Linked DNA regions of Xenopus tropicalis. The protein of the gene in region 1 interacts with the protein of each later gene in a pairwise test. Links are inferred from orthologs where the notes say so. Each region holds a gene or a part of one and is shown on either strand. Other genes may lie near its edges.

Region 1 (4,253 bases):
AGGTGTTGACTATGGTAAGTATGGAAGGTTGTAGCCAAAAAAGGTCAAACATATACTTTCTGTTATCTAATGCACTAAATGTGCATTTTTTTGTAAAATATAGTTTTTTGACATCTAAAAGATGTTTATGTGTTGCCCATGATAAAACTGAAACTTATTATTACATGTAATTATCATTATTTAAATAGCATTATTGTCTCCTGCAATGCTTTACACAGAAAAAGGATGCCAACAAAAAACATAATAGTTTACACATACTTACAGTGGCATAAGTCACTAGTATGTTGCTCTGTATTATACATTAACAGCTTAATATAATAAAAGTCATGAAGTTTGCCCAGGTTTAGTAACCTATAGTAAGTGAAAGAGCCCTCAAGAGTACAAGAATCTAACACAAGGTGCAGAGCACATAGCTGTCAGGTGCAGGGAAAACATACATCCGCAGGGACCATGAATGATTCTAGCCCCTGAGGTGGCTTTTGTGATGCTGCGCTTAACTTTCCTGCACCAGGGGGGATCCAGGGGGCCGCATTGCTAGTGCAGAGATTACAATTGTGAAGAGCTAATATTCCAATTTAATAATCAGAAATTGCGCTATTAAAGTGACCAGGAGCTGATTTTTGGCGCCCCATTTGTGAAGGTTACTACCTGAGGTCTCACCTTGCCTCATGGCTGTAGCACCCCTTGCAGGGACCCCCACAAAAAATTGTATTAGTAATATATGGTCCAATATATGAGGGGTCTGCCATTTCTTTAAAGGAAAATGAATACTTGACCAACAGATAATTTATAGCATAAGAAGGGACCTATTAAAGAATTATACCAAATTGGCAAATAAATATCAGCAAATATTTCCCTTTTACGTCTTTCACTTTGAGCCACCTTTTTGTGATGGACTGTGTGCTCCCTCAGAGATCAACTGACAATACATAATGCAGCTCTAACTGTAACAAAATAAAGTGTGGGATTATAGGCCCATTCATTGGTTGATGTAAGATAGCATGGTGTGCCTTTGGTTTGTATGTGAGTACAGTGGGCACAGGGGGGGGTGATCCGTAGAACTTAAAATGACAGTTTTTCCAGTGGTACAAAAAAGTAGTTTGTTATGAAAATGATTTATTTGCCGTGTTTGACATATATGCTGCTTTATGCAATATATTTCATGGCCTTCTATATTCAGTGGTTGTTGGTGGTTCTTCCTATTCTGGGGACCTAAATGGTGCTATTGCAGTTTTTTCTTTTTGTTTGTATAGGCAAAAGTTATAAGCTTCTTGCATGGACTGAGATAGAAGAGAAGTGGTAAAAAGTAAGTTTGAAATGTGCACTTGCATAATTGTGTTTGTTACTGGAAATAAACGTATTAATCGTGTGTAAGAGAGCAAGTATAAGTAGCGGTACCTAATACTGTTACCCTTCGTTCTGCAAAGGAACGGGTTAATATGTATAAATTGCTTATAGTCACCATATGTGTGAACCGTTACTGGGTACACTGGGGGCCGGGTGGTGGGAGCTGATAAACTGATAGCACTGTTCAGATTGCACCAGCCCAATTGGGAAATCTGTTGTCTTCCTGAAGAGCACATCAGAGGTGGAGGGGGAGCTGAATCTGTGAGCCACAGGGAGGGGACATACAGTGACACAGAGGGTGACCCCCCCCTCCTTGTACATTTTGAGCTCAGAGTGGCATGATCGACAGGTGTATAATTGTGACCCCCCAGGAACAAGCCACAAGGTGTGATAGACCTCTCCCCTTCGCTGCAGAAGTTTAGCCGAGAAAAAGAGTGTGCAAGTGGGGAAGCATCACTTGAGGAAGGTAATACCCTCTAAATTGTTTTATTCGCTATCTAAGGGCCATTTTTGAAACATGTCTGTTTATAAATACATGGTATATGTCTTTAGGCATAAACGCCATAAACATTTTGTTTATGCCTCAGTAGAGTATGTAATTTTGTTTAAAACGCTGACAAACTAAGCATATTGGCCGCACCTTTGTGCAGAATGTTATTTCCTCTCTTCCACTGCTGGACCACCATGGCCATTATTCATCCTATCTAGCATACCATAAACATTTGAATCTGCCATAGATTCAAAGGTTTGGTTCATTTTATTTAGATACATGATCATATACAGTATGTAAGCTTGTCTTTGATAGCATGGATTTTGTTTTTCACAAAAAAAAAAAAGGAATATATCAAGGCATTATTTCTCTCACCTGTTGAATAAAGCTGATAATTGATCTCTATCAGTTCTGATGTTAACAGTCCAGATTCCACAAATGTAATATTAATTTCTAAACTCTCTAGTCGCAATATAAATCCAAGGTATGAGTTCAGCTATAGCAATAACTGGTGTGTACTGGATTGAAAGGAGCAATGATACTGCCTATCCAACATGACTTCAATGAATAGGGCTTGTACTTTTTGTTTAGTATTCAAATCACAAAAAAATCTATGATTTATATTAGTTATTGAGCTAAACAAGACTAAAAAGAAAATTAAAGCTACTCCATGTTTGGTCCTCGTAATAATTAGAATACTAGTGCACACTTGATCTTCGTGCATAAGGGAAACCTGCTAATCTGTAAAACAGTGATCCCCAACCAGTGGCTCGGGGGCACCATATTCCTCACCAACCCCTTGGATGTTGCTCTCAGTGCCCCCAAACCAGGTAGTTATTTTTGAATTCCTGATTTGGAGGCAAGTTTTGGTTGAAAAAAAACAAGATTTACTACCAAATAAAGCCTCCTGTAAGCTGACAGTGTGCATAGAGGCTGCCTAATAGCCAATCTTAGCCCTTGCTTGGCACCTCCATGAACTTTTATGATGCTTGTGTTGCTCTCCAAGTCTTTTTACATCTGACTCACAAGTAAGAAAGTTTGGGGACCCCTGCTGTAAAAAAAAAATTCACAACAAAGGGGTGAAGGGAAGGGGCTGTGAACCGTTAATCTAATTATCTGTCTTGCAAGGACCAAACATGGAGTAGCTTGAATGAACAAGGGGCTATACCGCCTGTTCAAATATACATGTAATATTGTTGAAAAAAACTGACCAGCTAAGCAAAAAAAGGAGACTTATTTTTTCCTACTCTTCCACTTGTCAAACATAAAATACATACATATAGGACATGTGTATTTACTAACATCAGCTTTGCTTGCTAGGACTGGGTCAAAAACTACGGGATATTTTAGCCTTGTCCAATTTTTGTTCATTTAATTTTTATGTGTGATTCTGATAACCAACAAAATCTGACCTGATGAACCAAACCAAAAACAAAGATACATTGGATATCTTCTTTTCCAGTACTTTTGGTAGTAATTATTGGTTTAGGGATACAAATGACTTTTCCCAAAGAATCAGTGCAACTATCTACAGCATATTAAATATTCTATAGCTCTTAGCAACTGAGAAATTAGGGTTCACAGAGGTGATTTTTGTGGCAAGGACAAACACCATGTGGTCATTCAAGCGGAATTGCACCAGACTATTGTATTCATACCTATAAACCCAACTCACAATGACTGCAGGTACAGAACCCCCTTATCCTGCATCCTGGTCTTTGGAATGCTTCCCAAATCATCATGCCAGAGAACCCCACACCAGCTCCTAATTCTGTCATAACCCAAACCAAAACTGTAATTTTTCTGGATGTGGGTGCAGCTTGTAGGTTCCCTGTCTCTTTCCTCCCATTTTTCTGTTCCAGAGCTAAATGGAGAAGGAGACAGGAGTTTTAATGCTAAAATTCACGCCTGATTGGTCAGCTCCAAATTATGGAAAATAATTTGCTGTATTTGAATCAGCTTTTTTCCATAGTTCTTGCTTTTCCAAAGATAAAACCACATGTTTTCCTGCAGGGAAAAATCTTCTGTTTGCAACATTAATGTTGTCTGTATGATCATTTATCTGCCATCAAATAAACAGCAAAAGTCAAGGAGATATGTACTAGAGAATTAGGCAGATAAATGGAAAATTCAAGTGCTAATAAATTGATAATAAAGGCTAATCATATGAATATGTATAGATAAGGAAACAGTAAACATAGTAAAGGAGCATGATATGTGAAGGTGTAAAGATTTCTGTTTGACTGGGGAAGTCATTTTCCTTTGAACTCTTGACTTCCCTATCAGAAGGTTTTCATCTGCAGAGACAAGATACCTAGGAAATGACAAGGCCAAATGAATTAGTTTTTGCCAACATCCTGAAAATGACCACATTTTCTAAGATATTAAAATTTCTCCGGTATGACTCTGTACCAGT
Region 2 (3,655 bases), on another chromosome or scaffold:
CGCATCAACCGAAGCAGTCCTTGGCCGACAGAACTTTTAAACCTGCCTGTCAGTATCTGGCGGAGGGTGTTGGTTTGGCCCTATAAGCAGTCCACTAACCAAACAAAATCTTGATGGCCAGAATCAACAGCTAAAGCAGTGCATGTGGCCTGCTTTAATAGTCAATGTGGTGTAAATGTAAACAATGAAAACTCTGAGGCATTCATATATAGAGAATTGCTGCACAGGAGTTTTTTTGCTCTGTAATAATGCTTTACGGCCAGTCGCATACTACATTACTGTATTAAAGAAGAAAAGCTCACTTTCAAAAGCTCAAGGAAATCGCTTCTTTCCCTCTCCATAATACTACTCTGATAACCATGTGGTTTCAGGCACGAAATGATCTTTATGACAGTATCCCATTAGATAGTGGACATGGAGAAGGAACAGTTTTGTTTTTTTAATATCAGCTGCCTCCATCTTGCTTAAGTTCTGCTCTGCCACCAATAGCAAAGAGGGAGAAGAAGCTTCTCCCTTATGTGCTGCCTGCACTCTCAGACACGATTTGTGAAAGAGGGGACTATATGATTCAATCTCCTCCCACAGTGAATACTGTAGAGGAGAGAGTTCATATAAAAACAATTCATATCCCATGTGAACTATAACTATTTAAAAAAGCCCTTTTTCTCTGGCTTGTGCAAGGTGAATACTGCCCCTCTATGCTTCCTTTCTGTAATAACTTTCCAAAGCAAATGGGTTGCACCAGAAGACCTACAGACAAACTTCAACACCAAACATTCCTGTATAAATTACTGGATCCCAGACTGAAAGCACAATCAGTTACTACAGCCCCTACTGCTGCATGTTGCCTGTAATCAAAAGACAATGCAGGAATTCAGAGCTCTCCCACCCCTCAAAAAAGTTATTCTCGTCCACCAATAATTAGTGGTAGATCTTCAAATTGGTTACTACCCAGCTGACTCCTGTCCGGGTGTGCTGGATTCTGGCTGCACATTGTCTGCCAGGTTGTGTGCATGCTCTAAGAACAGGTCTTTCAACACGCTCAGCTCCTTGGTAAGTAGCTTGATTTTGGCCTCCAGTCTTTCATTCTCTTCTTTCAACTGGTTGACCCTTTGCAGTGTGTCTTGAGCCTTTTGTTTGCTTTTTAAGCGGCTCTTCTTGACAGCCATATTGTTACGTTCCCGACGCAGACGGTACTCTTCGCTTCCACGGTCCAATCGTTGACCCTTTTTGCTGTTTTTGCTTGGAGGGGTAGCTTTGCCTCCGCCTCCAGGGTTTAGCGGCACAAGCTGTGGTGTTGCTGGGCTCCCTGGCAGGGCATCGCTCAGGCCCTCAGATGCGGTGGAAGGGGACTGGTTCATTTGGTCTAACTTGTCCTTAAAGATAAATGGATAAATGTGAGGACTCTCTGCTGTTCAATGTCCAGTAATATATACCTAAAATAAAACAAATATATATTATTATGGACAGAAAAAATCAAAACATGGTAGCTTAGCATTCACAACTACAGTAATACTTTCTGCTGACTTCTGTTTGCCTATTAATAGAAACCGCCCAGTCTTTAGTCTGTATAATATGACTATCCAAAATTTAGAAAAGTACACTTATAATATATATTATATATTAGAGGTGATAAAGAAGACTTTTTCAAAGTTGTTCCTCATCACCTCTAAGCCCTGTGATGTGTGGATCTCCATTACACTCTGAATACCCTATTTTCCGCGAGGCAACTTCGGCGATTTGCCAAAATCGCTTGCGCAGCGTGTGCCATCCCACTGGCAACTTACATTTTCGCCGGTGGGATGGTACTTCGGCGACATCTCCCTTGTCACGGGCGACTAATCTCACCATGTGCCGGAGCCCTAATTCTACTGAATACATAGTGCCCCACCTGATACACAAACAATAGTGACAGGTGGACACTGGTGCCAAAAAGATAGCTTGATGTCTGCCTGTCACCTCTTTGTGCATGTCCAATAGGGCACTTTAGATTCAATAGTACTAGTAGGATTGACAGGCAGATGGGAATTCTGATTGCTACGGTTACTGTTAAGAGTGGCAGTGAAAATTCCATGTTTGCCATCCGTTTCAATGCTCACCCATAGCTGTGTGGTTGGAAGAAATGACAGGTTAGTGAAAGAGGCTAAAATAAAAAATATGGTTTGGGGATAAAAGATACCAAATGCAAACATGCAAAAATAAAGCACCAGATAAAAGAAATCATATAAATATGGAATCTGGCCTGTAAACATAAGGTGTATAATTTCTTAGCAAGGTTCTGTTTCACTTTCAGTTTAGTGTCTAATGTTGCGCTTGTTTTTATATCACTAAAAGGAACCAAAATCTTACTTTATTTTTGTAAACATCCTTTTGTGATCCAACAATCACACCTACAAGTTGTATTATTAATAGGTATAGTTGTTTTTCTTGGTGAACTCCCTTGTGGTCTTCATTCTGCTTTGTGGTCCCAGCTGCCACAACTTCATTCCATAAGCCAATACTCTAATGGGAATACAGCCTGCTGCGTTTGTGCTCAGCTGTGAGCACCATGCTTATAGGCTGAAAGAGAACGTAAACCCTATTCTCATTGCCCTCCATGACATGATCTATGGTTCTGACTATGCAGGAGATAGAGGGCCCTGCTCATAAGAGCTGCACACAGGAAAAATCCTATAGTTGTTGCACAAAACCATTAAGCATTTTTATCTGCTTCATATTATGATTATTGTGTAGACTGTGCATCAGTACCATCAGAAACATGTTTGGTTAATGAGGAACGGGGTCCCTTGGGTCTGTTAGTAGCGTAAGGCAACACAGGATGAACCTGAGACACCTACTGCTTCCCTTTCCTAAACAAGCCAACACAAATCTATCACCTTTATTACATTGTCAGCAGAACAAGATATTTCATCACCAACCATAAGTAGGCATTTTAGGAGAGTAGACAACAAAATTTTGGTTACAATTGAAAAAGGCACAGCTAAAAGCCTATTATATGTTACGGCATGGCAAACTGATATACAATCTAGCTTGGCACAAGAGGATTGGGACTCTATATAGTTAACAGTCAAATGCTTTTCACGCAATGTTTCCCTCCTTAAGGAGAACTTTGTAGTTTGCCTCAGGTGGTATCTAGTCCCAGCCCGTATATCGAAATTTATACCCACAGTCGACCCAAGATGCTTCCGGGCTTGTGACCAGCAAGGTACGATGTTCCACATATGGTGGTCGACTAGATAGGTCCTCTGCGCCCAGCCTTACAGACCTTATGCAAACCCCCAGCAATAGAGCCGCACTCTCAGCCAATGTTGAATCGAAAAATATATATAGGGGGAAGCACGAGACAAAATGCAAAATTGCTGCACAAAAAACGCTTTTATTTTTATGCCATACACGACATATTTCGGGCCCCTTATCAACATATGGCGGTCTTGCCCTAAAGTCCAGAGGTTCTGGATAAGAGTATTTACCATGGTCCACTCCATCTTTGGAGTCTCGGTCCCCAGCGCCGGATTTCAAATCCAGGCGCCCCGAGGCCGCCCCCCATTCGGGCCCCCCCGGCGCTCATGCATCTCCCCCCCCCCGCAATGACGCAAGCGCGCATGTGTAGCCATTTAAACTACCATACGGAGCAGTGGGGAGAAGTCCCCATTGC
Region 3 (3,306 bases), on another chromosome or scaffold:
GTGACATCACTTCCAGTTTTTGGCCCCCACACATTGGCTGTGTCCATGGCTGGATTTTATGTTTAGCTTGTAACACAGCTACAGTTTGAAAAAGCAGTCATTTTCACTCCTTTGTAGAAATAGATGTAATATTCATTAGATGTAATATGTAGCTGAAGAAGAATTGCACACATTTGAGAAGTCATACTTAATGAAAAATCTTATTTTAAAATCAGAAAGCAATAAGAAATTGCACTGTTGTGCTTTCCAAGGATGCTAGAACAACTTTGGCGTATAATGAATTAAAGGTGGTCATACATGGGTCAATAAAAGCTGGCGATGGTCAGCAGTTATCAGCCCATATATGGGGCCCTCAGACAGACCTACCCAACAGATATCAGGCCAAAAATTGGCCATGTGTCCTGATGGCCTCCAACCCATGTGAGCAAATATATCCCCCCAGTGACACTGCTTGGACTTTGAAGCAGATTTGTATCAATAAGGACCAGATCTTAAATAGTACATAAAAACCAAAATACATGCAATATTAGTTTTATTAAAATACTTGATTAATATCAGGGGATAGCTAAATGGACATGGTGTAAATTGTTTTGGAAACAGACACCGTGCAGATTAACCATGCAATATACAGAGCGCAATGCATTCCAGACTAGATAAAGGACTAACCTGTAACTCCTTACATCAGTATTTACAGAGTACCTGCTGAAAGTCACAGCAGTTCTACAAAGTTTACTTTCCTAAAATAAAAGTATAGTTCTCATAGCAAGTAATTGCTGATTTATTTTGAGTCTTAGTCTTTTTTAAGGTTCACCATCCGGTCTATTAAAGCCTTCCTAGTCTGCTCCACTTCCTTACTTAGGCGTTCAATCTCTCCCTTTAGTCGTTCATTTTCTGCTAACAAATGGGACACTTTCTTTTCATTCTCCTCTTCCTTTTCTTTCACACGTACTTTTCCTCCTCGTGACTGACTGCTTCTCTTTCTTTTTGATGGTGGCTGGCTGGCAAAAGATTCCTCATCCTCTGTGTGGGTATGTACTGAAGAGCTACTGCAGTAATCGAGCTCAGGCACGTCCGACTGCGGAGTATCATCACTTACTGGGGAACCAGAGAGCTTACAGTTGTCTTGTATTTCTGAGTTTATTAGTTCCAAGACAGCAGAAGGCAGCTGTTGTACAGCAGCTTCTAAAGCATCAGTATCCTCATTGTCCATAACCAAAGGTGACTCAATAGTCCACAAGTAAGGAGATTGGTCCACAGTTTCCATTTGCTGTAAGTCCTAAAAAAAAGAAAAAAAAATTAGGCATTGTAGGCCAGAAAATACCTGTAAATTAAGCAATTAGGGCATTTTGCTTAGAACTCTTCCCACCACATGCTGCCAGTGTGACAGATCAAACAGAACCCCCAAGGTTCTAACCACTAACCTTGCTGAAAGATGGCAACAGCATGCTTTACATAAAAGTACCTAAGCTGAGGAGCGTTGAGGAGAGGTGATGAGCTTTGGTGCAGGGAACGTCAGTACAATCTTGTTCCAATGGGTGTAGTAGTACTTTTTCCAGAGAGTTCTGTACTATTCATGAGGTCAGCTACAAATAGTGAAGCCTGGACCAATATGGTGGTCATGCCCAGGCTGCCCCTGGCTTCAAGGCTGAATGGCCACAGGCCTCCTTAACACCTCAGCTCTACTTTGTTAGAATTTGCTTTCAAAGAGCCAATGTCATGCTGGGATTTGATTTGGGTGAGGCTTGCTTAACAGGCCCTAATAGAACAATTGTTAAAGAATCCCCATCTGCCCTGCTAATGTATAGCAATGCCAACCTAAAACTTAAAATGCTGTTTAGTTGTGATCCCAAAACCCAGACAGCAGATTTGCGGACATCAGACATTGATGTTTTTCCCTCAGTCTAATGCTAGATAGCCAACCAACAAAATGAGAGCAAACAAATTAGTTGGTCACTTATAAAACCACCAACCTGCTCTTCTGAAACAGGGAGCAAATTCCCAGTGTCCTTTGTGTCGGCCCACAAGATGTCTTGAAGATCTTCATACCAACATTCCAGCTCCCACCCAGACAAAGTGGCCATGGGGCCACAGAATGGCAGAGACTCTGCCATCATTTTGTATGGCAATCTTGCTCAGAAGACTGTTTCTGTAAAAAGGGAAAATAAATCAAAATATGTAAAAATGCAGACAGTGCCACGTGCCTTACCTGCAAGCTGAGTGGGGGGGGGGGCGCACTGCTAGGCGATCAGTCACCCAAAAAGTTAGGGTACACTGAAATAGAAGAGCTGGTCTATGGAAGCAAAGACTGGGCTGTGCACTGCATACGAGGACTCCTTACCTAGAGATGTAGGAAAACCAAGTATGTGCAGATGGCATAGGCTTCCAACCAATCCAAGACTTATATGTCATTTTATGAAAGCATTCAATGAATCCAAAGGTTTAGAAATGCCTGTAGCACTTTAGGGGTTTAGTTATGATAAGAGGCTTCCATCAGCCTAGTGGTCCTATAGAAAGGCAACTACATGCTGTATATGTTCACAACTACAGTTTAGCCAAAGGCTTAGATTTCAGTGTCTTACCTCAGGTATGGTGATGTATAAAGATTGTCTTTCTTCTCCAACACTATTAAAAAGAAAAGCGTGATTAGCTTTTTTTTTTTGTAAAAAAAAAAAAAAAAAAAAAGTTTATAGCAAGGCTACCATATACATTATATATAGATACAACAGTTCAGGCTACTCGATACAAAAACAGAAGTCAAATACAAAAAAAATTGCTTCAGTGGTGCTTAACACTATTATTACTAATTATTAGGAAACCGTTTGAGCCAGAAAAATCCATATGCATTTATTATAGAAGAGGGCACATTTTATGATCTGGGTCTATATGTCAGGATTAATTCTCTTTCCCAGAGGTTTGGAGTTGTGTAATGGATAACGAACCCTACCCACAGTGAGGGCCTAAACCCTCTTTAAATATGTATTCATTTGTCTGTCTTTTAGGGGTGGTAGATGAATTGGTTACCTGGAACCACACAAGGAATTGAGATCAGTCATCTTCTGTGCTCCAAAAATCCCATATATAATTAAATGGACCCACCCGCACTGGCAGAATGGATTGCATTAATAAAAAACTCCCTTTAAATCAAGCAGACATACATAGCAAGAACTCCCTGCAGAAATCTGAGGCAATATGGTCCCCATGGCTAAATGCCATTGCCCTATTAGACCTGCCCAGTAACTTATTTCAACCAAATAAACAGAGCTTAATCTGAAAGGTTGTCTTTTTCTATTATTGATACAATGACGG

What was found.
Region 2: the proteins of cebpe (region 1) and cebpg interact in a two-hybrid assay, tested with the Homo sapiens proteins (2 studies listed by BioGRID and IntAct, with this or other methods). The link is inferred for Xenopus tropicalis from reciprocal best matches to the Homo sapiens genes CEBPE and CEBPG.
Region 3: the proteins of cebpe (region 1) and ddit3 interact in binary tests that used the Homo sapiens proteins (3 or more experiments, as listed by UniProt). The link is inferred for Xenopus tropicalis from reciprocal best matches to the Homo sapiens genes CEBPE and DDIT3.

Annotation. Positions count from the first base shown.
Region 1 is NC_030677.2:139,545,089-139,549,341, reverse strand, and holds the start of cebpe (CCAAT/enhancer-binding protein epsilon), read left to right. Parts: upstream 1-1,411; 5' UTR 1,412-1,813; intron 1,814-4,253. UniProt on the Homo sapiens protein: Transcriptional activator. C/EBP are DNA-binding proteins that recognize two different motifs: the CCAAT homology common to many promoters and the enhanced core homology common to many enhancers.
Region 2 is NC_030680.2:115,631,037-115,634,691, forward strand, and holds part of cebpg (CCAAT/enhancer-binding protein gamma), read right to left. Parts: intron 1,437-3,655; exon of another isoform or gene 1,377-1,436; 5' UTR 1,362-1,376; coding exon 948-1,361; 3' UTR 1-947. UniProt on the Homo sapiens protein: Transcription factor that binds to the promoter and the enhancer regions of target genes. Binds to the enhancer element PRE-I (positive regulatory element-I) of the IL-4 gene. Binds to the promoter and the enhancer of the immunoglobulin heavy chain.
Region 3 is NC_030678.2:140,580,885-140,584,190, forward strand, and holds the end of ddit3 (DNA damage-inducible transcript 3 protein), read right to left. Parts: intron 2,623-3,306; 5' UTR 2,580-2,622; intron 2,147-2,579; 5' UTR 2,115-2,146; coding exon 1,971-2,114; intron 1,277-1,970; coding exon 791-1,276; 3' UTR 516-790; downstream 1-515. UniProt on the Homo sapiens protein: Multifunctional transcription factor in endoplasmic reticulum (ER) stress response. Plays an essential role in the response to a wide variety of cell stresses and induces cell cycle arrest and apoptosis in response to ER stress.